Ovis aries: one gene and its partners. The protein of the gene in region 6 interacts with the protein of the main gene of each other region in a pairwise test. Links are inferred from orthologs where the notes say so. Each region holds a gene or a part of one and is shown on either strand. Other genes may lie near its edges. The genes, in order: NEU4, OIP5, SIK3, GSE1, PRKAA2, TRIP6 and FRS3.

Region 1 (2,024 bases), on a different chromosome or scaffold from region 6:
GAGTGGGTTGCCATTTCCTTCTCCAATGCGTGAAAGTGGAAAGTGACGCAGAATCCCTTTATTTCTCGCTCATAAGCCAGAAAGTCGTGAGCCAAGCAAGGCTAGAGGAAGGCCGTACCGACAACCGAGCCCCGTGTGCTCCACTAGGATCCCCGTGCCCCCTCCCACCCCAGGCCCCCAGCCCGCGGACAGCCTTGGGAGGGGGCCTGCGCGGGTCACCCGGGGGCAGCCCCCTGCCCACGGGACCTGTGCCCCCGCCTCCCAGCGCCCACCGCCTCCCAGGGCCCACCGCCCTGCCCTCCGCCCTGCCCTCCGCCCTGCCCTCCGCCTCCCAGCGCCCACCGCCCTGCCCTCCGCCCTGCCCTCCGCCTCCCAGCGCCCACCGCCCTGCCCTCCGCCCTGCCCTCCGCCTCCCAGCGCCCACCGCCCTGCCCTCCACCTCCCAGCGCCCACCGCCCTGCCCTCCGCCTCCCAGCGCCCACCGCCCTGCCCTCCGCCTCCCAGCGCCCACCGCCCTGCCCTCCGCCCTGCCCCTGCTGGGCACCAGGGCCGAACCCAGCCAGGGGTTCATCAGGAGGGCTGGCAGCGCCCCGCAGGCTTGTCTCCAGGCCCGGGGTGCACCCTGCCCCGCCTCACGTTCTCCAGGACCTCCTGCAGGGAAAACAGGCAGAAAGAGATCTCCTCGTAGGAGACCCTGGCCCCACTCTCGAACAGACAGGCGAAGGTCGGCGCGCCCCCAGGGGCAGGCCCGATGGACGCCAGGTCCGAGTAGCCACTGGGGCCCTGGTGAATGACCCAGGGCTCCGTCCAGCTGTGGGGGTCCAGCGGGGACCGGCTCAGGCGGATGCCCATGTGGAGCCGAGCCCTGCGCCCCACCGGGTGGGAGTAGAGCAACCACGTGGGGCTCTGCGACAAGGCTGCAGGGGGTCCCGGGAGCGCTGAGGCCCAGGAGCCCCAGTTCTCACCAGGCTCCCCGGGGCCGTCGCCACAGCCCTCCATCCCACCCAGGCCCCCGCCCCCACCGGTGTCTCCAGTGCCCTCCTCTGGGGCCTCCCCGGCCCCAGGACAGAGGCGTGGAAGGCAGAGGGGGTTGCTGGTGCCCGCGGACCGCCCCTCATCCCCCCACCCACTGGCGGGCGGGGCCGGGAAGCCCACGATGCTGCCCTGACAGCCCCGGGCAGTCTCGGCCAGGGCAGGCACCAGCTCCCCGGGCAGGAAGGAGGTGCCCTCGTCGACGCTGAGGGCCTGCACGCGGCTGCCCAGGGGGCTCCGAGCGTTGCAGTAGAGGACGCCGCCGGCCCGCCCGCCGTCCACCGCGGCCAGCTGGCACTCGCCCGAGCGCAGGCTGGGCACGAGGCCCCCACGCTGCCAGGTGCGGCCGTGGTCGTCGCTGTAGAAGGCGAAGGACTGGGGGCGGGTCCTGCAGATCCGGCCGAAGCACTCCCGCCGGACCACGTGGTAGGTGTAGGCCGGCACCAGCAGACGGCCAGAGCGCAACTGCACACCGTGGCCGGGCCCCACGGCAAACGTGGCCCAGTCTGCAGGAAGGAGGGGCCCGGGTCACCCAGGAGGGGGCAGCTGTGGCCGCAGGCAGGCGGCACCACCACCCCGCGGGACGGGGAGGGTCGGGGGCCAGGGCCCCTCATTAGGGGACAGCTCGGGAGGAAGCCCCCACCCTCCGCTCCTCCGGGCCCCTCCCCCAGGCTGGACAAGCCTCTCGGGTCGTCAGCAGGAGCTGCAAGCCGAGGCGGCCCCGGGCTGGGCTCTCAGCCGGTCCCCGAGCACGGATGCATGGCCACTGGTGGTGCCCGGTGACCCAGTATGCCCAGGCAGAGGGGCAGCTGAGGGCTGAAAGGTCTGAGCAGCCCCTCCTAACAATGGGATCGAGTCCCCTGGGGTGGGGTCCACACCAGCAGAGAGCTCCCACCTGCCAGAGTGTGAGTGACCTCTGGGTCAGCACCCACAAGCCAAGGGCAGGTTGGCCCCAGAGGGCAGTGGGTGGTCAGCCCTCAGGGAACCCACAG
Region 2 (3,500 bases), on a different chromosome or scaffold from region 6:
AATGAGTCCAGAGACGTTATTTTGTATTTGTTCCCTGATTTTCTTTCTTACTCATATCCTGTTTTTTTTTCCCTCCAGCACTTACAACCTTTTATTATGTAGTTCCTGTGAGATTCCCATTGGTTTCCACCTATATTCTACCCGTACTGCCCTGGCTGCCTTGAGAGGCCACTTCTGCCTTTCCAGTGACAAAATGGTGTGGTAAGTAGACTTAGATTTTCTTCAGCAAATAAACTTTAGAACATTTTCCAGAAAAGGCAGAATGTTTGTATTAGAGAAGATGCTAAAGCCAGGTGCTATACTGCTCTTACAAAAAAGATGGCAATGGGACCGAAATAAGTCTCATAATACATGACTATTATAAATGTCTCATAATACTACTACGTATTAATAATCATACTGTGAGGATATTCTTTCATTCCAGGAACTTTTGGAAGGTAAGTTTTTGCAAACTAATGCTGTGATAGACACTTTTCAAGTTCGTGCCCAGCCTCTGTTTGCCTCCTACAGTGCAGGACCTTGTGGCTATATCTGTATCCTATGTGATGCTACTCCCAGGTGATGGGATCAGAAACAGACCTGACCTAAGCTAGGTCAGTCAGGATTTCTAACCCTAATAATTTGAAATAAAAGCATAAAGACATTGGTCATCTGTAGATGGTGTAGGTGCTGCAATGGGGAAGTGAAAGCTCTTGGTTTGAGGTAGATATTTTATATGTTGTGTGTATAAATGCAGAGAAATTTTGTCTGCAGAAAAAGAATGAAGCAGATAAAGTAAAAAATAATTATCATGTGGCCTTATAAAGTCAGAAAAAGTTCCCTATTGGTTGTTCCTTCTTATGAATTACTTTAGATATTTCTTATATTTCTAATTATAAATTCTACTTTTTGTTAAGCTTTTCTGTTATTTCAACAAATTGAAACATCTGTCAAAGTCTTTTCATTATCATTAGAAACAAAAATAGCCAGTGAGGTGCTATGCTTCCCTCAATGTGTTTTTAAGAAAACAGGCTTGCAAATGTGGAGGAGCTGAGATTTGAGTGTATGTCTTAACTCCAAAGCCTGTTTTTCCATTCATAAAACAGAAGTGTACTTCTTCTCTTTTTTTAATGTGCTTTGATAAACCCCTTTATCATGAGGTTGTTCAGTGTAGATTTTTAACAGGAAATATGTTCTTGAGATGGATTGGGATTTCATTTTCTTTCATTCTTAAAATAATTTTTATTTATTTAGAATTAGGTTTAAAGATATGAGGAAAAGTATCTCTAAATATATGCTATTAATAACCTCAAATCTTTTTTAGAAATAGTTATAAGGAATTACTTTAGCACAGTTATAATTGAGTTTTTGCTTAGGGAAGTAACCTTTTAGTAACAAAAAAATTTTAATATAAATTTGAAAAAACATTATTTTAAGTAATGTCTTACGTTTTTAAAATGAGGAACTGGACTCAAAGGTCAATACATTCTTTTTGATTAAGTGGAAGTCAGGAAGACACAACATTGGTAATCAGCTATAGTCCAATATAACATAAAAATAATGAAAATTTTTTAAAAAGAAATTAGGAAAGTACAGTAGCCTGAGTCTGGGACTATGATACGTCTATGTCTGTGGGTATTGGAATGAATTTGGTTGCTAGTAACAGAAAACGTAAGAGTGGCTTTAAGAACAGGGTGGGACAGTTGGCTACTCCAGGATTGTCCTAGTAGCTCAGCCATGACAGAGCTGTGGGTTAGTATCGCTGGTTCTCATGGCTTTTTCTCTTGGATGCTGCAGGTTTTAAGCATCACATCTCTAAAGAGCAGCATCCAGAACTGGAAGGAAAAGGATATGGAAAGTGTGGGAATGCAGGGAATAGGTCCCTTAAGCTGGGAAAGCAACTGTGTGACAGTAGGGAATAAGATTTTCACAGTTAGCCTAGAACAGTTATGATTCATCTCTTAGGACTGGGCACACTGCTGCCCTAAACAAAATCTGGGTTCTGTTAGCAAGAAAGCCTTGAGGAATGGCTGTTGGGTAGGCAACCAGCAGTATTTGTCACAATGTGATAACTTTCCTTCTAACTGTGCTGTAGTCTACTGGTGGTCTGTGAGGCCTACACTCATTACAGTTATTCATGTGACCCTGGTTTTCTGGCTTTAGTTTGTCCTGGGATCATTTTGACTAGTGGATTCCGGGCTGGAAAAGGGTGAGATGAGGCATAGTGTCTCTCTGGTGACTTGGTAATTGAGAATGTTTTTCCTGTGAAATACATTATAAATCAAGAAATGGGTATCAGGAAGAAGGCAATCTTTGCTTGATAGGTATTACAAGTTTGTTTCCTTAATCATCATAACTGTGGTATGGTACTAATGTTTTCTCTTTACACTTTCTATCTAGCTACCTCTTAAAAACGAAAGCCATAGTAAATGCATCTGAGATGGATCTCCACATCGTCCCTCTACCAGAAAAGGTTGCAGAGGTAAATTTTCATGATGGTTGTGTGTTTTCTTTAATATAGACAGTTCCTGATAATCTGTACCCATGAACTTAGGGATAGTGAAATGGTGGATACACTAATAATTCTTTGTACTTGGTTTGGCCTTCCTTATTGAATCTGTGATACAAAGCAAAATAGTGAAGCCGTATTGTCAGATTTGGTTCAGGAGGAGATGGAGAGCTGCTGAGCTTCACATTCCTATTCTTCCTTTCTGTGCTGGGTGTGGACTGTCATCCTTCATAAATCTGACTTCTTTGCAAGTACCTTACACTTAGATATCTCGGAGGAAAGAGTGTTGAAAACCGTTATTAAGGATTCTTATTTAAATGGGTTTTACTAGTGTTTGATGGTTTTGAGTTGAAGAAAGCAGGTTTGTTTTGGTAGCTTGCTGACTTATTCTGAATAGAATTTGGCTATTATTTTACTACCCTCAGAAGAACCACCTTAGAATTTACTGTTGGTTTTGTTTTTAGCACTCTTAATAGTTTATTCCTTGGTAATTATACATTTAGTAACCAGGGCATTTATTTTTCAGAGTTTAAGTACTTTCTAGGATAGGAGAACAGTGTTTTGTTTTTTCTTTTTTGCACGGTTAATTAAGCTTATGAAAGAAACCATGTTCTATCCAGGAATTGGCCAACTTTTCTGTAAAAGAGCAGATGACAAATATCTTAAGCTCAACCATGAAGTCTCTACTTTTCAATTCTGCTATTGTAGTGCAAAAGCAGCCATAGACAATATATAAAATATGGATATAGTTTTCTTGGAATAAAACTTTATTAAAACAGATGGGCAGCAGGTTACCCCACAGTCCATAGTTTGCCAAACCTTGTTCTGAGCAACTAAGTTGGTCAGCAGGATCAGTAAATACTGTAATTAGAAATAATCTGTATGGGAGAGAACTTCTGAAATGGCCTGAGTAACTCCATGGACCCCCCTCTGCAACAAAACTGCCAAAATTGAAGCAAATGACAAATAAAATAGCTACCTTAAGTCTGTGGAAATTTTCTTCAAGGAATAA
Region 3 (3,500 bases), on a different chromosome or scaffold from region 6:
GCTGCCGCTGCCGCTGCTGCCTTTTGATGAGCTGTGCAAACTCCGCCGGGGGCAGCCGCATGTCCGAGTGGCCGGTGAGTGAGTGCCGGGGGGAGAGCAGTCCCTGGAGGATGTGGGGCACCTGCTGGTGTCGCGTGTAGTCTGGCGGCGTGGGGGACAGCAGGGCCTGCTGCAGTGCCGATGTGGTATAGTGCGGTGGCTGCTGATGTGCACTGGGAGGGAAGGTGGGGAACTGGTCAAGCGGAGGGACTTTCAGGGCTTGGGTGGGAGGTAACCCCGCTCCTGGTGAAGGGTTGTAGCTGCTGGGGGAACCCCGGGACTGGTCCGAAAACAGGTGGGGGTGTATATGCGCCTGGTCGTAGTTAGCAGGGGAGAACCGATTCACGTTCAAGCTGCAGACACAAAAGGGAGTGAGTACCAGGCATCCGTGTGACAAGTGGCCAAACTCCCCGGGGAACGGCTACCAGTCCTCCTCAGCAGCGAGTCTCTGCTGGTACAGAGAACCACAGGGCCACAGGGAGGATGGGGGCGTAGGCATTACCCCCACCACCCCCTTGGGCTTGAGGGTAGCAACATCACTTGAATTAAGATGTGCCCATCTCTTAGAATATGAGTGATGGAAAGAAATAATCCTAGAAGAACAGAGAAGGGGGGTAACTGAAATTTTTACCTACTCCTCTAACTGGCCCTTTTCTTCTTTGCAGACCTATAGTCAGGTGGTAGTGGTGTTTAGTTGCTAAGTCGTGTCTGATTTTTTTGTGACCCTATGGACTATAGGCCACCAGGCTCCTCTGTCCATGGGATTCCCCAGGCAATAGTACTGGAGTGGGTTGCCGTTTCCTCCTCCAGGGGAATCTTCCTGACCCAAGATCAAACCCACATCTCTTGCACCTCCTGCATCGGCAAGCAGGTTATCACTGCACCACCTGGGAAGCCTATATGGTAAGGTAGCTGCGTCATTATCCTCCTGCATCTCACTAGCATTTTGATCTTGAGTCAATATATAGGTTTCAAGTCCATCCCAAGCCCACGGCCTCATTTTTAGTCAGGCTGAAATGAGCACAGCCCAGTCAGAGCCCTTCTGTTCTCCCCTCCTCCTACTAAGGGGCTTCCTCCCACCTGGGTCCCCCGGAGAGATGGCCGGGAGACTCCGGGCAGCCTCACCTGTGGGCCTCCGCACTGTCGGCGCTCAGCTGCTTGGACAAGGGCCGGTGCCCGTAGCTGAGGGCGGCCATCAGGCTGGTCCGGAGCTGCATCTGAACCTGACTGGTGTTGGGGCTGATGGAGGCGCCCCGGCCTGCAGGGGTGGCAGCGGCCCCAGGCATGCTGCTGAGCATGTCGACAGGCTCCTGGACTTGGACGGGCACCTGCTGTGACTGGGGGGGCTGCTGTATGCCCAGGCAGGTCAGTGCCACGTTGGCAGGAGGGGAGCGGTTCTCAGGCTGCTGCTGGAAGACGGCACTGCGGGAGGGGAAGCCTTGAAACTGGGAGGACGATGTAGCACCTGGGGAGAAAGGAGCCCCAGAGTGACCACATGCCCGGGTTACCTGCGGCCAGGGGCCACTGAGGATGCTCAGCTCGCACACCACCCAGGGCAGGGCTCCTCCGACTCCAGGGCATGGAAGCTTCCTCTGGGGGATCTGTGAAGACACACACTCCGGGGCCCAACCCTCAGAAGCTGACTCAGTAGGTAAGGATGGGGCTCCAAGAATTTGCAATTCCAGGAAACTGCCCGTTGATCATTCTCTGAGCAGCTCTCATTCAGGGCAACGCTTCTCAAACTCTAATGCACGTATGAAGGGCCTGGGGATCTTGCTAAAACACAGATTCTGTTCCAGCACGTCTGCAACAGGATCTGAGATTTGATTTTTCCTGCTGATGTTGCTGGTCAGGGACCCCACTCTGAGTAAGAAGGGCTTTGAGTCCAACTCAGGCTCTTCAGGGGCTCTAGACTGAGTGGCGTTACTTAAAGAGATTCTCAGTTTTCGGAACACTAACCCCTCAGAATGCTGGCCTCTGAAGGACCGTATAAATTAGGGCCCGCTCATCTTTGCCTCCATCTGAACACCCACAAGAGAGGAGCCATGTGCCCAGAGGACCACCAAACTCAGGCGTGACAAGAGGGACGGTTCTGGTAGTAGCCCATTCGTTTGGTACAGTTGGAAGGGACATCAACTGTATGTTGATGAAACATATGTTATGAAAACATCAATACCAGTCAACCACTATTTGAGAACTATATTGTTCCAGGGGCTATTTTAAGTATTATACCTAACATATGTATCTCATAGTCGTATTATCCCTGTCTTACATTTGAGGAAGCAGAGATGCCCTGAAGTTCAGTGGTCTACCTGTGGTCTCACAGCTAAGGAGCTGGCAGCAGCAGGAGCCAAGCCAAGGCAGCCTGGCACTAGAGCCACTCCCTTACACAGCATGTTGCTCCGTCACCCCAACCAGTGGCTTGGGGCAATCAAGACGAAGCCTCACTTCTCCTGCAGCTCACGGCTCAGAGAAAACCTCTGCACTCACCGTGAGACTGTATCATGGCGCTGCTCATGGGGGGAGGGCTGTTACTGGGCTGTCTGAAGAGATGGTTGTTGGGATGGTTGGGAGGTGGGCTGGAAGGCTGAATCCTTAACCTTAAAAAACAACAGAACCAGATGAGTAAATACACTTCCTGAGGTGACGATATAACCTTGAAGTTAGTTTCAGCCATTTGATACCCACAGGCAGAAACTCCACTTTTAGTTTTGATAAGCTTCCAGGCTAGAAGGCCACCCATCACAGTCTACTGAAAGCCTGTCTACATCTTATTTTCCCAGATGTCCCAAGGAGGCAGGGGTCACTGTGGGCCTGCATCTGGCCTCCTGCATTAGGTGTCAGATTACATGGTTCATGGGGATAAGAAAATGAAGTGGCACAGGAAGTCAGGATTTTAGAAAGCTGCCGAAATTTAAATTGGTCTTCCTGCTTTTCAGATGGGTTTTTCCAGGGTGACTGCTATAGTCAGTCATGTGAGTTAGGCCAACAGCTTAGGCAAAGAACATGTTTCATTACCTCTGGAGCTGGTGGGTGAGGAGGGCGGGCTGATTTTCACATGCAGCCTGAAGAGGTGGAGAAGGCTGAGGAGCACAGATAGAGTCCTAAAATACGTGCAAGAAAGGAGAGAAAAATGCTCGTGAGCTTGAAGACTAACCAGGGCCATTCTCGGGACGGGAAGAGACTATCTGCGACTGAGACTTATGCTCCCGCCGTTCATCGAAAGGCTTGATTACCTGGACTCAAACATGGCAACCACACAAATAACTCAACTCCACTCTGCCCTGCGTGATCTCCTCCAGCACCGACAGGCCCATTGGCCTGCGAGCAAACTCCAGACAAGTTGGAGAAAGCGGAGAGGGAAGGCCTACTTGAATCTGCTGCTGGAGAATTTGGTGGTGCTGCTCCTGCTGGTATAACATATGCTGCTGCTGGGTCTTCTCCAGGGTTCTTTCATCAAT
Region 4 (3,500 bases), on a different chromosome or scaffold from region 6:
CTCCGCAGCGCGTGCAGCTCGGCCACGGGCAGGAAGGCCGGCTCCAGTGCCTTGGCGGCCAGCAGCTCCTTCTCGCGGGCGCGCTGCTCCCGCTGGCGCTCCAGTTCACGCTCCTTCTCGCGCTCCAGCTCCTTTTCGCGCTCGCGCTCCTTCTCGCGTTCACGCTCCCGCTCCTTCTCGCGCTCGCGGTCGGCCTCCCGCTCGCGCTCGCGCTCCCTCTCTCGCCTCAGCTCCTCGTCCACCTGCAGCCTGGAGGTAAGGACAGGGATGTGACCTCCGTGGCGGGAGAACCCCCAGGAGCGAGGCGCTCACACGTGAGCCCGGGGTTCTCCCCGCCCCAATGGGAACGGGCCGCGGGCCAGGTTCTGCTTTGGCTAACACGCCAAGAAAAAACTCAGCGTCCACTGGAGACTGAAAGCCGTGGACAGAGACTCTCCAGGAGCCTGGAAAGCTCCCGGCCGCAGCCAGCGATTGTGAGGACATGGCCTCCAGACAGCAGCTGGGAGCTCCCGGCAGTGCCCCTTCTGCAGACAAGCAGGCCGAGGGCAGGGGTGGCTGTCCAAGCACAGCTGGCCCAGCCACGCTCTCGAACGGGGCTCGCTTACCTCTCGGCGCTCAGGCTGGACATCCGCTCTGAGTGCAGCGCCGCCAGGGATGAGTGGGAGAGCTCAGGCGGGTAGCGGACACCCGAGAGGTGGAGGTGCATGGCCGACGGGTGCAGCGGGGGCAGGGAGCCGGGGGCAGGGATGGGGTAGAAGGGGGACCGCAGGGCTGACAGGCAGTAGGAGTCGTCCATCCTGTGGGGGCAGAGGGGGCCGGTGAGCGGCCACGGTGGAGAGGAAGGCAGGACCCAGCTCCCCCCCAGGCACAGGTACTAATGCGGGAGCGGCGGACAGGGCCTCCACAAAGGTCCCGGAGAGCCCCCTTCCACAGCCAGCCCCAAAGCCCTGCACTCCCAGAGGCCACAAGGCCCCGCCGGCCACCCCTCAGCTCAGCTGGGCCAGGCCCAGTGGGGCCCCTCCAGGTCTGACCATCTGACCTGGGAAGCTCCTACACAGAGTGGAGGCATAGCGCCGTCTGCTCCGGGCACTAACAGTCACGCGCGCCTGGGGAATCCTGAGTGGAAGTGGAGGAGCCAGGGAGGCCAGCTGGCGCGAGAGTCTCCCTCCAGGAGTAAGCTCTGGACGGCGCATCCAGAGGCTGGGGGAGCGGCCCACCCCACAGTCCCCCCGTCGGGGAACCTGGTCTCAGACCGGGGTCTGCCCGCGGGTGGCTGGGGACGTCCGGACGCCTCACCTGAAGGCCGGGTGCGGGAAGGGGTGCGGGGCCAGGTAGCTGGGGTGATAGTAGGCTGCGGCGGTGGCCGGGTCCAGGCCGAGCGGGGGCAGGGAGGACACGCGGAGGTCCTCGGCCGTGTGGTAGGGCCGGAAGCTCCTCAGGTAGTCCTCAGTCACCGTGCTGGGGGGTACCACGTGGTGCACAGGCCGCTGCAGGCTGCGGGCGGGAGGGGGCGGCGGAGGTGAGCTCCGGGCCCCTGGGCCACCGCCCAGCCCCCCGCCACCACCTCCCTCCTCGAAATGGCAGTCCCTGCCGGAGGCCCAGGGCCCAGAGGTGGGCAGCTGCCGCTCCTCGGGCCGGCCTGACCCCTCACCAGAGGGCACGGGTCTGTGACCTGCAGCGTGGGGAGACCACCCCCCACCTCCGGCCCTAGGAGCCAGGCTGGGGGGTTAGGGTCAGGCAGGCAGAGAGCCCGCCGCGGGCACAAGTGGCAACGGCCAGCAGGGCTGCCAGCCCAGGGCGCGGCCACCACCGGGCAGCTCTCGGGCTCAGCTGGTATCGACTCGCGGCAGCCAGAACCTTGGGGGTCCCACCCCACACCGTGCCCAACCCCCAGCCCACACTTACTTCAGCGGTGGGAAGCGGGAGTCCTGCACCACCGAGCTGGGTGAGATGCCGAAGGGGTAGGGGGTGCTGAGCAGGTGCGAGGGGATGGCCGGGCCCCCCGCCTTCTCCTGGGGCAGCGGGGGCTCCACGATGAGGCGCTCGCGGCCACTGCTGCCGCCCCGGGAGCTAGCATCCTGCTGGAGAAGAGAGTGCAGGTCAGGGCCGAGGGGCAGCTTGTAGCTCGGCCACCGGCAGTGGGCCAGGCCTTCCTCCGGACACACAAGAGCAGTCAAGCTTCAGGGAGACATTCTTGCAACAGTCTCCACGCCACGGTGGGGGTGACAGCCGCTGAGTCCCTGCCCACCGCCCACCCGATCACCCGATCATGCCGGCGTCCCAGGGGCCCAGGTGGCAGCTGCTGGCCTGCCTCACAGATCACTGGGCCTCAGTGCCCCCGGAAGATGTGGCTGAGCAGCTGGCGCTGCCTCGGGCCAAACAGGCCAGCCTGTTCCCCCCAGACAGACCCTGGTCGGCCCTGGCTCTGGCCAGAGCAGGCAGCTGTGGGGCCAGACCTGTCGGGGGACCTCTGCTCACTGGTGGGGGCTGTGGGCCCGCCTGCCCAGACTCCTGTCCAAGAGAGGGACCTGGGGCCTGGAGGGTTCAGTGGCGGGGAGACCCCAGGAAACCAGAAGGGGCTCATGCAAGGCAGGAAGGGAAAGGCGTTGCCCCACCAGCCCCGGCCACACAGAGGAACACCCTGCAGGCCCACCCGCAGGAATGTCCGGCTGCAGACTGGCAGGCCGTGGAGAGGCTCGGTCACTCCGGTCGCTGACACGGCCGGAAGGGAGCAAGCGGCAGGCATGGAGCGTTAACAGCCACTGGCCCAGGGTCCCGTCGCCACACGGCCAAGGAGGACGCGGCTGCCTGGCCTCCCCGACCCGAGAGCTCCACGCGCCAGGCCCTCCCTCGCCAGGCCGCATGGTGCCCTCCTCACCTGGCGTCAAGCCTGGCCCAGCCACCCCAGTTAGCAACAGGAGAGCAGGACGCAGCGGGTCAGGGAGACACCCTCCGCTGTCTGCCTGGCATCTCCCCCACTGGAGTCAGAAGATGGGGGCGGCAGAGCCTCAGGTCACCTCGCTCCCCATGCGGGGGGCACAGGAGGGACCACACAGCTCCCGGAGAGAGGAGGGGCCCACCCATCACCGTGTCTACGGAACACCCGGGCAGGCGGCTGTGGCACCTCCTGGGCCCCAGAAGACGGCAGCGGCGGGCCATGCCGTGGCCAGGCCGCCCGTGCTCCCACCCCGAATGGCAGGCCGCCCCTCACAGGGCGTGAACTCCGACACCCTCTTTCCCAGGCGGGCTTCACCAGGCTTGGGGGGTCGAGGGCGAGCCCCCCACGCAAGTCAGGGCAGGAAGCCAGCACTCCCCTCCAGTCCCCAAGGCCCTGGATGGGCCCCCATGACTGACCCTGCCCAGGGGCCCCCGCCTGCTGGACGTGCACAGGACGCGGGTCCTGCACATACAGCTGCAGCCCTTCACACCCCCGCCACTGGCACGGGGCACAGCCAGAACGAGAGGGGTGAGGCCTTGAACCCTGTGCCCGGGGTCTGGGC
Region 5 (3,500 bases), on a different chromosome or scaffold from region 6:
AATATATATTTTTGAAGACACATGACTTCTGTTATGATACATGCTAAAACAGGTGGACTATTTTCTCAAGGGATTTCAAGTTGATTAAAACCATGTTTCTCAGCCAAGAATGCTATTCTCTAATTCAAAAATATATAGGTACCCAACATCAACAGTTCTTCATCCTTATGAAGATTTGTTTTGTTTTGAATGCATATGGTACATTATTGGAAAGAATAGGATTTATCAGCCCATTTATTTATTGAGACCACTAAATTCACATCAAAACCAACTTTTTATTGATTTTAGTATTCAATTCAGCACCTCAGACAGGCTTACTATACGGAAAATGGCTTCTACAAATGATCTTCATATACTACAATTTCCTACCTTCCATTCAAAATCCAGCTGCTTCATAGCTCGGTAAACTTCAGCCATAATGTCATACGGTTTGCTTTGACTTCGGATTCCAAGATGCCACTTGGCTTTTTTCACAGCTAAAGATTTGGGCTTAGTTGTATTCAGTGCATCCAGTGGACATCGTGCTTTGGGGCTGTCTGCTATAAGAGGTGGCATCCTTTCTGGATGAGGTTTCAGGCCTGGGGGAATATGCATGGTACTATCATCCATAAAAGAACCGGTAGGGGGACTAGAGGCGAGGTAGAACTCACTGGCTTGGTTCATTATTCTCCGATTGTCAATGATAAGATGATAAGCCACTGCAAGCTGGTCTTGAGGGTCACCACTATATAAACTGTTCATTACTTCTGATTCTGTACACTCAAATTTTTCACACACTTCTTTCACAGCCTCATCATCAATGACGTTAGCATCATAGGAGGGGTCTTCAGGAAATAAGTAACTGGGCAAATCTTGTTTAAACCATTCATGCTCTCTAGGAAAGATACCACAATACACTATTGTAAGAACATGCTTTGGCAAGTCCCAAATAATTTAGACATGGGGCAATACAATATATCAGAATCAGAAAGACCTGGGTCTCTAGTCACTTACTAACTATGGGACCCTTAGGTAAGTTCACTAACCCTTGCTCTAGAGTAACTATGATTATTCAGACTTGGGTATTTTACTGATATTTTCACAAAAAGAGATAAAATAAGTCTGTCACTTCAAAGGAAACAACTGGCAGTATTTGGTGCCAGTGATGAAATTCAAGCTTTCAAGTAAAATGTTAGAATTCGGCTTATAACAGAATTCTATATATATATAGAATTGTATATAACAGAATAATTTATATATGTTTCCATAAGTTTGACAGCTTCTCAATATTTAAGAGACTTTTCTACTTTTAGAGTGAAGAGGATAATGACTATGATTTGATAGTTTATAATGAAATGTGTTATCATTCTGACCACCAGGCTATCTCACTAACCCAATATTTTCCATATGACCAATGCAAGATGTTACATAATCATACACGGGCAGAAGCTCCACTCAAAAGGCAAAACAGACCTGTGGATTTCAGTGTAATAAAGTACAAAAGTTCACTGGTATGTTTTCTGATTTGATATTGCAATTAACATATTAAGCTTTGATTTAATATCAAAGGAAAATATCTAACTATGTGAAAGACTATGAGAATGTTCCTCCCTGTTCTAGCAATATCTGAGATCAGATATGTTTCCTAGACTTCAACTAATACAACATATTGCAATAGATGAATGAAGAAGTAGGTATGAAAACCTAGCTGCTGTCTCTGATAAACAGGATTTGAAAAATGTAAAATATCCTCAAAAAATTCTAGCAATTAGAATCCAGCAACACATTAAAAAGATCATACACCATGACCAAGTGGGCTTTATCCCAGGGATGCAAGGATTCTTCAATATCCGCAAATCAATCAATGTAATTCATCACATTAACAAATTGAAAAATAAAAGCCATATGATTATCTCAATAGATGCAGAGAAGGCCTTTGACAAAATTCAACATCCATTTATGATAAAAACGCTCCAGAACGCAGGAATAGAAGGAACATACCTCAAGATAATAAAAGCTATATATGACAAACCCACAGCAAACATTATCCTCAATGGTGAAAAATTGAAAGCATTTCCCCTAAAGTCAGGAACAAGACAAGGGTGCCCACTTTCACCACTACTATTCAACATAGTTCTGGAAGTTTTGGCCATAGCAATCAGAACAGAAAAAGAAATAAAAGAAATCCAAATTGGAAAAGAAGAAGTAAAACTCTCATTATTTGCAGATGACATGATCCTCTACATAGAAAACCCTAAAGACTCCACCAGAAAATTACTAGAGCTAATCAATGAATATAGTAAAGTTGCAGGATATAAAATCAACACACAGAAATCCCTTGCATTCCTATACACTAATAATGAGAAAGTAGAAAAAGAAATTAAGGAAACAATTCTATTCACCATTGCAACAAAAAGAATAAAATACTTAGGAATATATCTACCTAAAGAAACTAAAGACCTATATATAGAAAACTATAAAACACTGATGAAAGAAATCAAAGAGGACACTAATAGATGGAGAAATATACCATGTTCGTGGATCAGAAGAATTAATATAGTGAAAATGAGTATACTACCCAAAGCAATTTACAAATTCAATGCAATCCCTATCAAGCTACCAGTGATATTTTTCACAGAACTAGAACAAATAATTTCAAGATTTGTATGGAAATACAAAAAACCTCGAATAGCCAAAGCAATCTTGAGAAAGATGAATGGAACTGGAGGAATCAACTTGCCTGACTTCAGGCTCTACTACAAAGCCACAGTCATCAAGACAGTATAGTACTGGCACAAAGACAGAAATATAGATCAATGGAACAAAATAGAAAGCCCAGAGATAAATCCACACACCTATGGACAGCTTATCTTTGACAAAGGAGGCAAGAATATACAATGGAGTAAAGACAATCTCTTTAACAAGTGGTGCTGGGAAAACTGGTCAACCACTTGTAAAAGAATGAAATTAGATCACTTTCTAACTCCGCACATGAAAATAAACTCAAAATGGATTAAAAGATCTAAATGTAAGACCAGAAACTATAAAACTCTTAGAGGAGAACATAGGCAAAACACTCCGACATAAATCACAGCAGGATCCTCTATGATCCACCTCCCAGAATTCTGGAAATAAAAGCAAAAATAAACAAATGGGATATAATTAAAATTAAAAGCTTCTACACAACAAAGGAAAATATAAGCAAGGTGAAAAGACAGCCTTCTGAATGGGAGAAAATAATAGCAAATGAAACAACTGACAAACAACTAATCTCAAAAATATACAAGCAACTTATGCAACTCAATTCCAGAAAAATAAACGACCCAATCAAAAAATGGGCCAAAGAACTAAATAGACATTTCTCCAAAGAAGACCTACGGATGGCTAACAAACACATGAAAAGATGCTCAACATCACTCATTATTAGAGAAATGCAAATCAAAACCACAATGAGGTACCACTTCACACCAGTCAGAATGGATGCGATCCAAAAATCTGCAAGCAATAAATGCTGGAGAGGG
Region 6 (4,289 bases):
ACAGGCATCCGGCCAGCCCATCCATCTTATTTCTGTAGCCCCCTGCATGGGATTCAGTGAAAGGTGACCTTGAACAGATCTGAGTACTGACCCCAGCACTGCAGCTTCCTGGACAAGTTATTTAACCTCTCTGAGCTTCATTTTCCTTCAGCAGCAGTAGCTGCTTCACTGGGATATTGTGAGAATTTAGCACCTTCCTATAAATCTAAAATAAATGCCTGGGACTTCACTGGCAGTCCAGTGGTTAAGAATCTGCCCCGCAAGGCAGGGGACATGAGTTCGATCCCTGGTCTGGGAAGATCCCATTCGCCTCAGAACAACTAACCCCATGCACCACAACTACTGAGCCTACACTCTAGAGCCCGTGGTCTGCAACAAGAGAAGCCACCGCAATGAGAAGCCCACGCACCGCAGCTAGAGAAAGCCGGCTGGCAGCAACAAAGTCCCAGCGCAGCCAAAGATAAATAAATGCTTCACACGTATGAGGGAATATCGTCCTTCTTTTCCAGCAGCCAGTGTGGAGCTCCTTACTTCATTCATCCCTTCTTCTCGTTTATCAATGTCAGTTCCCCTGCTTCAAGCCCTATTCCTCTAGTTTCCAACTCATTCTAATTGCATGGAAGCCCTCCTGGGCCCCAACCACTCACCACATAGCAGCTCTCACAATAAGCCCTCCTCTCCACAGCGTAGAAATGCTGGCCCCGGAGCTGGGCCCGGCACGTAGAACACACAAAGCAGCCTACATGGAAGACGCGATCCAGGGCCACGACCCCGGCCCCATCCCCGACCACGTCTTCTCCGCAGCCACCACAGCGGCCTGGGGACAGGAAGGGACAGGGTCAACCCCCTCACAGGCCGGGAAGCCAGATCCGCTGTCCATCTGACTCTGCAGTCCCACCTCCCTGAGGTCGGGGGTCAGCTCACCAAAGTACTCCCCACTGGGCGGGTGGTTCATGTCGTGCACCAGCTTCTTGGTCAGTCTCTCAAGTTCCTCCTCGGGAGGCTGGCTGAGGGGCACCTGGGAGGTGAGACTCAGAGGTTTGACCCTACCTCTAGCTCCCAGTGCTGTCACTGAGGGTCCCCAGGGTGACCAGACCGTTCTACCCAGAAAGCTTATCACAGAACAAGTCCCAGCCCAGGGGCCGGGGGAGCCCCTCTGGCAGCCAGGGTGTAGATCTAGGCCCCTCCGTCTTTTAGTCCTGACCTGCCCCACATCCACAGGGGATCCAGAGCCCCAACATCCCAGACCTCCAACATTAACACTCCTTCCCCTACACCCCACCCAGTCAGCATCCAGTTGTCTTTGATGGACCCGAAATCCCAGGGCCCAGGGCGTACCTGGGACCCGTAGCCGCCTCCTCTTGCACCTGCAGGGCCGGAGACCCCCGGGGCCTCCTCCTTAACCCCCGGCCCTGGCTCGCGGTGGCTCCTGTAGCCAGTCCCCCAGACTTCACCTCGGCCTGGAAGAGGAAAGTGGGGGCCCGGGGAGTGCCCGGAGGCCTGAGAGGCCCCCCGCCTGGGAGGGCCGCAGCCTCTCACAGGCTGTGCCACTTTCACTTGCACAGGAAAGGCCGGGCCGGCGGGGGTGCTGGCTGTAGCATAGGAGGCCGGAGTGGGGCCCCCGTAGGGGGACCCTGGGAGCGGCGGGGGAGGAAGCGCCCCTCCATTCGGCCTCAACGGGCCTGAGCCTGAGCGGTAGGCAGGGGGCTCAGGGGGCTCGTAAGCCTGGGGAGAGACGAAGAGCAGGAGTGAGCTGGGCCCATTTCCAGGACACCCATCTGTAGGAACCCCCCTCCCCCGACCCCTTGAGGCACCCAGGCAAGAACCAGCTTTGACAAGGGCCCGGAGTAAGCATCCCTCACATGGGGCTTGTGGGCGGGTGGGGGGCGTTGGGAATGGGGGGGTGGATTCAGAGTAGGGAACAGGGGAGGGGCGGGGTCAAGGATCGGAAGGGGCAGGGGCAGGACAGGGGAGTCACCTGCCGGTCAGATCGCCTCGGGGCGTGACCTCGACCCCCGTCCAACTCAGCCAGCATGCTGGTCAGGGAGTCTATCTCAGCATCCAGACTTCCCGGGCGCAAGCCCCCCCTGTCTGGGGGGAGGCCCTGGGGAAGGAGCAAAAAGCAAGGAGAAATGCAATCCCACGGTCTCCCCTCCTGCCCTGAATCGCCCCATCCCCCAGCGCCTGTGCTCACCTGCGAGTGCTGGGGTGCTCCATGGCACCCCACCCAGGCCAGCCCCCGGTCCTCTGGTCCCCCGGGGGTCTGGTAACACTGCTCGGATGGGAGGGGGCAAAAATTGACCCGGGGGTGGGGCTGGAGCGCTGGGGTGAGGGAAGAGAGAGCCAAGGTGGGGATGAGGAAGGTCAGGGTGACGACGCCCGTGGAGGCCACCGTCTTGGGTCCCTCTTCGCCCCTCACCCTGCACCTGGGGTCCGAGAATAGGGCCAGGGGCAGGGAGGGCTGGGAGGGGAAGGGGCAGCAGGGGCCTGCTCAGTGGGGCGTGGACGGCGCAAGGCAGAGCCGAGAGCGCTGGTGGCCCGGGGGCCTCTGGGCCTCACTGGGGCTGCCTTACCTGATCCGTGGGCCGGGGGTGGCCCCGAGGCCCCTCGGGGGAGCGCTCTCCCCTGAGGGGCTCGAGCAGGCTCCAGCTGCTTCGGGGGGAGCCAGGTGGGCCCGGACATGGTCTGGAAAGGGGGACTCCAGACAGCCGGTCGGGCCCCACGGAGCCCCGGGGCTCTGACTTGGATCCCTTCTTCCGTCCCACACCTTGCTTGGGACTCCAGGAAAGAAACTTTTTCTGGCTTTTTTTTTTTTCCCCTTCCTCCCTAATTTTGGGGATGGCCACGCCCCCGGTGACATCATCGCATTCCTGGGGGAGGGTCACGTGGCCCCCTAGGCCCTAAACTGCCGTCCCTCCCCGAGTCAGGCCCCCTCCTGCGAGCAGGGAGCGCTTTCCTCGGGAGCCCCGGGAGCCTCGAGTCTTCAGGCTGCCGGCAGCCTGCATCTCCACCAGCACCCCCCCACCCCCAGGCCGGCGCCCCAGGTCCCACACGTGGCCCCCTCCCTGCTCGGAGTCTCTCCAACGCCCCTCTGTCCCCATCCCCCATACAGATTTCTCCCTCTTTCCATCCCACGTACCCACCCCCTCCCCTCTGCTTCCAGAAATGCTCAGCCGGTATTTAGTGTTTTGATCTTTTATTCACATTGAGCAGTTAGAAAAATAAAAGAACAAAAACATCACAACCTCAGGGGTCGGGGGTGGGGGGGTCTGTTGGGCGAGGTGGGGGGCGGAGACTGAGGTAGCCTAGAGTCACAAGCGGAGACCCAGCCCCCGGCAAGGCACGGGTGAAGGGAGGGAGGCCCGAAGGGAGGGCTGTGGACTCCTTCCCCAGGAAGGTGGTGGGGACAGCTGCCCTGCGTTAGTAACTGCACCCAGGGCCAGGAGACCAGGATGCCCTAATACGTCCACCAGGGGCTGAGTCCCACGTGCGAGGCTGGCACAAGACAGCCCTTCCCCTTCTCACCCTCCTCTCACGGTGGGCCGCCGGACCTGGATGCTCTCTCTGCTTGGCATGGGCCTCAGAGATCAGTGCAAGTAACAGGAGTGACACCGTGAATGAGCAGCGCGGGGCCCAGATCGCGGCTCAGAATTTCCAGAAGCGCCAGGTAGCGCAGGTAGCGGGCAGAATCAGCAGGCGGCCGCGGCAGGTACAAGAAGGTGAGGGCAGTGGTGGGCCCCACCTCGCCGCCCCCTTCCTCAGGCCCACCAGGCCCTCCTCTACCACGCCCCTGCTGGGCCCGAACCAGGGCGTTGGCGCTGCATGCCAGGGCCTCTGCCTCAGCGTCTCCCCGCCTGCCGTTCACAAAGTCCCCTTCCTCCTCCTCCTCCGGCTCCTCGGAGGCAGCCCCCTCGCCCCACACCACCTCCCGCACCTCGGCTCGGATCCTCAACTGGCTCAGCAGTGCCCGCAGCCGCCCCTCGGCCGCCCCCGGGGCCTCCCGAGGCCCCAAGCACAAGAAGATCCGGAGGCGGGCACTGTGCCAGGCAGGCACCATGCCCAAGATGGTCGCCATCTGCAGCAGGAAGAGGCCGCACACGTCCACGTAGCCGGGCCCACCCCGTGGCCGCAGCAGGTTGAGGGGCCACACGTCCACGTGGTGCAGCTGGGAGGTGCCCCCAGACCCCCGGCTCAGCCGCTCGGGAGGCAGGGCCCCACAGGCCCGGGCCAGGACCACGTTCTTGTTCATCTTCAGGGCGTCTGCCACGGTGGCCACGTAGTCCTGGGGA
Region 7 (3,947 bases), on a different chromosome or scaffold from region 6:
GGGACTCTCAAGAGTCTTCTCCAACGCCACAGTTCAAAAGCATCAATTCTTTGGTGCTCAGCTTTCTTTATGATCCAACTCTCACATCCATATATGACTACTGGAAAAAGCATAGCCTTGACTAGATGGACCTTTGTTGGCAAAGTAATGTCTCTGCTTTTGAGTATGCTGTCTAGGTTGGTCATGGCTTTTCTTCCAAGGAGCAAGCGTCTTTTAATTTCATGGCTGCAGTCACCATCTGCAGTGATTTTGGAGCCCAAAAAAATAGAGTCTCTCACTGTTTTCACTGTTTCCCTATCTATTTGCCATGAAGTGATGGGACTGGACACCACGATCTTAGTTTTTTGAATGCTGAGTTTTAAGCTAGCTTTTTCATTCTCCTCTTTCACTTTTATCAAGAGGCTTTTTAGTTCCTCTTCGCTTTCTGCCATAAGGGTGGCGTCATCTGCATATCTGAGGTTATAACATCTATCTCAAATTTATTTTTGATGTTCTCTTCAAATGAGATGTTATGTTATGGTTAAGAGATATATTCAGGCAATTGAAATTGAAAACAGAGCACTATTTTCATAACCTTGAGTAGGCATTTCTTCATTTAAAAAACACTCGGTTTGTTCCCTTTTGTCCAAATGGGAGACCAGAGGCCTTACTACCCGGCTTTTCCCTCCCGGATTATGGGACTCAAATTGTATGTCACAACATTTGGGACTGTGGCTGGAATGGCGATGACACCACCAGGCTACAGTGACCTAAGGGACCAAGCAAACCCATGGACCAATCCCAACCAGAAATTATGGGTTTGCAACTTGCTGCAAGAAAGGAATCGGTGGGACTAGATACTTTCTAGAACTCCCATTCAAAGTGTAAAGTCTTGAACAATCCTGACCTGCACCCTCAATTCCTCCCAACTTGGGAAATTCTAGAAAAGTGGCTCCTATACACGGGTCTCACCTCACCCAGGCCATTGGAGAGCTGACCATGGGAGGGGCATGGGGAAGGACCCCCACTTTATTCCCCCTGTTCTTGGTGGGGTGGCATGGCAAGCAGTCTGCAGAGAAGTCACCTGGATCTCCCTGGGACACACCTGGGGCTCACCTAGCATAGGAGACAGAGACCACAGGTTAGTGGAAAACTTCTATCCTCACCCCTCAATGGTTGATGAAACTGACTTGCTGTCAGTCCACCCCACTGGGATATCCGTTCCAGGCTATAATGGTATATAAAAGCCAATGAAGAAAGATCAAGGCCAAAGGGACCACAAATTCTAAGCCCCATAGGCCCTGAGAGGGAAAGACTACCCTGGAAACAGTGACTTTGAAGTCCGAGACAGGCCAGAACATTTTAAGTCACTTCTAGACCCCCTCTGAATCCTGTTACAACCAATACCAAGATCATCACCTTACCTTTGCAGAGAACTTGAACTCTACAGAGAGATCTCTCAAGAGGACACGAAGATGTATTGGAAAGAGCAATGGCTTAAGATTCAGGAAACCAATATTCTATGTTGCTGCTAAGTATCACAGAGAGTCTGTCAAGCAGACCCTCCATCGCCACCCACAACTCCCACCCCAACGCCTTTAAGGGAAATAGCTTTCCAGTTTTTTACAGGAAACAGCTGTAAAATATGGAGCTTCACCTCTAGAAGTAAGTACATAGGACAAACACCACTAAAATCAACATTTTCCTCTTCTAGGACAAGCTCCTTCAATTTCACATTTGGAACCTTGATAGACTTTCTGTTCTCCAAGCTCCAAAAGGCCTATAATTTAACAGAAATGCTATCAACCAAAATTTCAGTAATCTGAGCCCTAGGTGGACAAGTCAACAAGCCAGGACCCTGGAGATCCTTGAAATCCCACCCTCCTGCTCTGGAAAAACAAGGTCATTTCCCAGGGCCCCATGTGCTCTGCATCTTTGGGTACTTTCCAGGTAAAAGGACCCCTACCCTCTGTCTGGCTTACTCTCTGGAAGGGGCAGCGGGCTGAGGAAGATGTGCACAGCTGGGTAAAGACGGGCAGCTGGGTAAATACTGGGGCTTGAGCCACCAACAGGGAGTGTGGGGGTGAAGCCAAGAACTGCAGGGTGCAAGATGGGAGAGGGCGCTGTATCTTTTCCTGTTTCCTTCACTGCTCTTAAAGATACCAGAACATATGACAGCCCAGCTAAGGGGGTGACATCGGGTGACAGGAGGAGAAGGCTCTGCTCTGAGACAGATGTGGACTGGGAGTAGGAGTTTGAGGTTATGGAGACTCAAAACGTCTGAGAGGGATTGGGGAAAGGTGGACAGATGCTTTGGATTTGAGCACGGTGCAAGGAGAATGGAGAAGCATGAAGACTCGGAGGAATTTCAGGACGGCGGAAGCATCTGGGTTCATCCCAGAGAGAATGGTGGTTCTGGGGGCGTAGCAGGGGAATTTGCAGGAGACCGGGGTTCTCGGGACTCCAGGACACGAGAAGGTGTGTCGGGGGTGGGGATGGGGTGGTTCTGGGAGGTTAGAGGCAGATTTAGGTAACAGAATTGACGGGAATTTCTAGATGCCGGGAAGGAATAGGGGAGGTCAGGGCCGCGCGTAGTCCCTAGATGCCCGCCCCCAGCCCCGGGGCTCCACCGCCCGCCCTCCCGGGACTTCCTCGGGAGGGAGCGGAGACTGCGGCGAGGCGCGGTGCGGCCTCGGTGGAGCCGCTTCGTCCCCGCCCCGCCGCACCCCGACTCACATCGCCCCACGGCCCGGGCGGCGCCGGGCCCCGCTCCCGGGTCCCACTGCAGCAGCCGCCGCCCGCCCGGAGCTAAGGCCTCCCCGCCCCGCGGCGGCGGGGTCGGAGGTCATCGGCTGCACCAACGAGACGCTGCGGGCAGGCGGACCCGATCGGGGGCGACCGGCGCGCAGCCTAGAAGGTCCCTTTGGAGGACTTTGCGGTAGCGAGCAGGGAGCATGCGCAGACACCAGAGGGCGCTCCGGGCCAGCGGCAGAGCTAGCCTAGCGGGGACGGGGCGGAGCCTGGGGCGGGGGCGGGGCTCAGGGCGGGGCCGAGGGGACCAGAGGTGGGACCAAAGGTTTCCACTCCAGGGATGAGAAAAAGGACCGGAGCCAGGGCGGGACCGGGGAGAAACACGAAAGATGGGGGAGGAACTTGAAGGGATGGGACGGGGAAGGGTCGTACAAGGGACCCCAGAAAGGGGCTGGGGACAAGGGGGAGGGAACTAGGTGGGGGTGGGGACACACAGACAAGGGCGGGTCTAGGAGACCAGAAGAAGGTCTGGGGGGACCTGCAGGCTTCGAAAGGCGTTTTGTTCAGCGAGTGCTTGAGAACCCGGCATAACGATGTCTCCTGGGTGTCTGCTCAGCGCCCGCAGAGATGCGGTCCCAGGACTAAGCCCACGGGCGTGGGAGCAGTGGAGCCTGCACCGTTTTCACCCGATATCCCTCAAATGCTTTCCTTCACTTAGCGGCTCTAGGCCCCTCCCCGAGCCGTCGGGCCCTACCAGCCCCGGAGAGGCGGACGGGGCCCGCGGGGCGGGGAGTGGGGGTGCTGGGAGAGGAAGGGCCGCGCTCTCGGGGGCGGGCAGAGGCGGGCGCCTAGACCTGGAGGTGGAGACTGGGTGAGGGGCCCGACAGCGGCGTCTGTGCAGAGCTGCCCGGACACCAGCGCTCAGCAAGGGTGAGACCCCGGCGAAGTCCCGTCCCCTCTCCTAAACTCCAGCAGCCGCACTGGGCACTCCAACTGACTTGAGAACCACACCGCTTCCCGCTTCGGAGGTGGGCCCTGAGAAAGCCAAGAAAAAACCTGGGGATCTGTCAAGAGGGCACTTGGCAGTACCAGAAACTTCTCGAACCTTTCTTCCTCTCACTGTCCGGGGAAATCTTTCATCCCTTACACCCCACCCCTCAACTTCCCAATCCCTGGCCTCTGCCCTTCAGGAAAGTAGAACTCCTGAGCCCGTTTAC

The links.
Region 1: the proteins of TRIP6 (region 6) and NEU4 interact in binary tests that used the Homo sapiens proteins (3 or more experiments, as listed by UniProt). The two-hybrid records come from large-scale screens. The link is inferred for Ovis aries from reciprocal best matches to the Homo sapiens genes TRIP6 and NEU4.
Region 2: the proteins of TRIP6 (region 6) and OIP5 interact in binary tests that used the Homo sapiens proteins (3 or more experiments, as listed by UniProt). The two-hybrid records come from large-scale screens. The link is inferred for Ovis aries from reciprocal best matches to the Homo sapiens genes TRIP6 and OIP5.
Region 3: the proteins of TRIP6 (region 6) and SIK3 interact in binary tests that used the Homo sapiens proteins (3 or more experiments, as listed by UniProt). The two-hybrid records come from large-scale screens. The link is inferred for Ovis aries from reciprocal best matches to the Homo sapiens genes TRIP6 and SIK3.
Region 4: the proteins of TRIP6 (region 6) and GSE1 interact in binary tests that used the Homo sapiens proteins (3 or more experiments, as listed by UniProt). The link is inferred for Ovis aries from reciprocal best matches to the Homo sapiens genes TRIP6 and GSE1.
Region 5: the proteins of TRIP6 (region 6) and PRKAA2 interact in binary tests that used the Homo sapiens proteins (3 or more experiments, as listed by UniProt). The link is inferred for Ovis aries from reciprocal best matches to the Homo sapiens genes TRIP6 and PRKAA2.
Region 7: the proteins of TRIP6 (region 6) and FRS3 interact in binary tests that used the Homo sapiens proteins (3 or more experiments, as listed by UniProt). The two-hybrid records come from large-scale screens. The link is inferred for Ovis aries from reciprocal best matches to the Homo sapiens genes TRIP6 and FRS3.

The regions. Positions count from the first base shown.
Region 1 is NC_056054.1:175,575-177,598, forward strand, and holds the end of NEU4 (sialidase-4), read right to left. Parts: intron 1,539-2,024; coding exon 571-1,538; 3' UTR 501-570; downstream 1-500. UniProt on the Homo sapiens protein: Exo-alpha-sialidase that catalyzes the hydrolytic cleavage of the terminal sialic acid (N-acetylneuraminic acid, Neu5Ac) of a glycan moiety in the catabolism of glycolipids, glycoproteins and oligosacharides.
Region 2 is NC_056060.1:34,990,849-34,994,348, reverse strand, and holds part of OIP5 (protein Mis18-beta), read left to right. Parts: intron 1-78; coding exon 79-201; intron 202-2,379; coding exon 2,380-2,461; intron 2,462-3,500. UniProt on the Homo sapiens protein: Required for recruitment of CENPA to centromeres and normal chromosome segregation during mitosis.
Region 3 is NC_056068.1:27,259,059-27,262,558, forward strand, and holds part of SIK3 (serine/threonine-protein kinase SIK3), read right to left. Parts: coding exon 3,411-3,500; intron 3,144-3,410; coding exon 3,058-3,143; intron 2,640-3,057; coding exon 2,530-2,639; intron 1,505-2,529; coding exon 1,165-1,504; intron 393-1,164; coding exon 1-392. UniProt on the Homo sapiens protein: Positive regulator of mTOR signaling that functions by triggering the degradation of DEPTOR, an mTOR inhibitor. Involved in the dynamic regulation of mTOR signaling in chondrocyte differentiation during skeletogenesis.
Region 4 is NC_056067.1:11,173,734-11,177,233, reverse strand, and holds part of GSE1 (genetic suppressor element 1), read right to left. Parts: intron 2,082-3,500; coding exon 1,906-2,081; intron 1,495-1,905; coding exon 1,297-1,494; intron 798-1,296; coding exon 606-797; intron 250-605; coding exon 1-249.
Region 5 is NC_056054.1:31,252,211-31,255,710, reverse strand, and holds part of PRKAA2 (5'-AMP-activated protein kinase catalytic subunit alpha-2), read right to left. Parts: intron 875-3,500; coding exon 370-874; intron 1-369. UniProt on the Homo sapiens protein: Catalytic subunit of AMP-activated protein kinase (AMPK), an energy sensor protein kinase that plays a key role in regulating cellular energy metabolism.
Region 6 is NC_056077.1:36,218,563-36,222,851, forward strand, and holds the start of TRIP6 (thyroid receptor-interacting protein 6), read right to left. Parts: upstream 2,801-4,289; 5' UTR 2,683-2,800; coding exon 2,574-2,682; intron 2,323-2,573; coding exon 2,195-2,322; intron 2,105-2,194; coding exon 1,979-2,104; intron 1,726-1,978; coding exon 1,339-1,725; intron 1,019-1,338; coding exon 925-1,018; intron 818-924; coding exon 648-817; intron 1-647. Other genes in the region: SLC12A9 (solute carrier family 12 member 9), read right to left, coding at 3,581-4,289. UniProt on the Homo sapiens protein: Relays signals from the cell surface to the nucleus to weaken adherens junction and promote actin cytoskeleton reorganization and cell invasiveness. Involved in lysophosphatidic acid-induced cell adhesion and migration.
Region 7 is NC_056073.1:15,624,630-15,628,576, forward strand, and holds the start of FRS3 (fibroblast growth factor receptor substrate 3), read right to left. Parts: upstream 2,801-3,947; 5' UTR 1-2,800. UniProt on the Homo sapiens protein: Adapter protein that links FGF and NGF receptors to downstream signaling pathways. Involved in the activation of MAP kinases. Down-regulates ERK2 signaling by interfering with the phosphorylation and nuclear translocation of ERK2.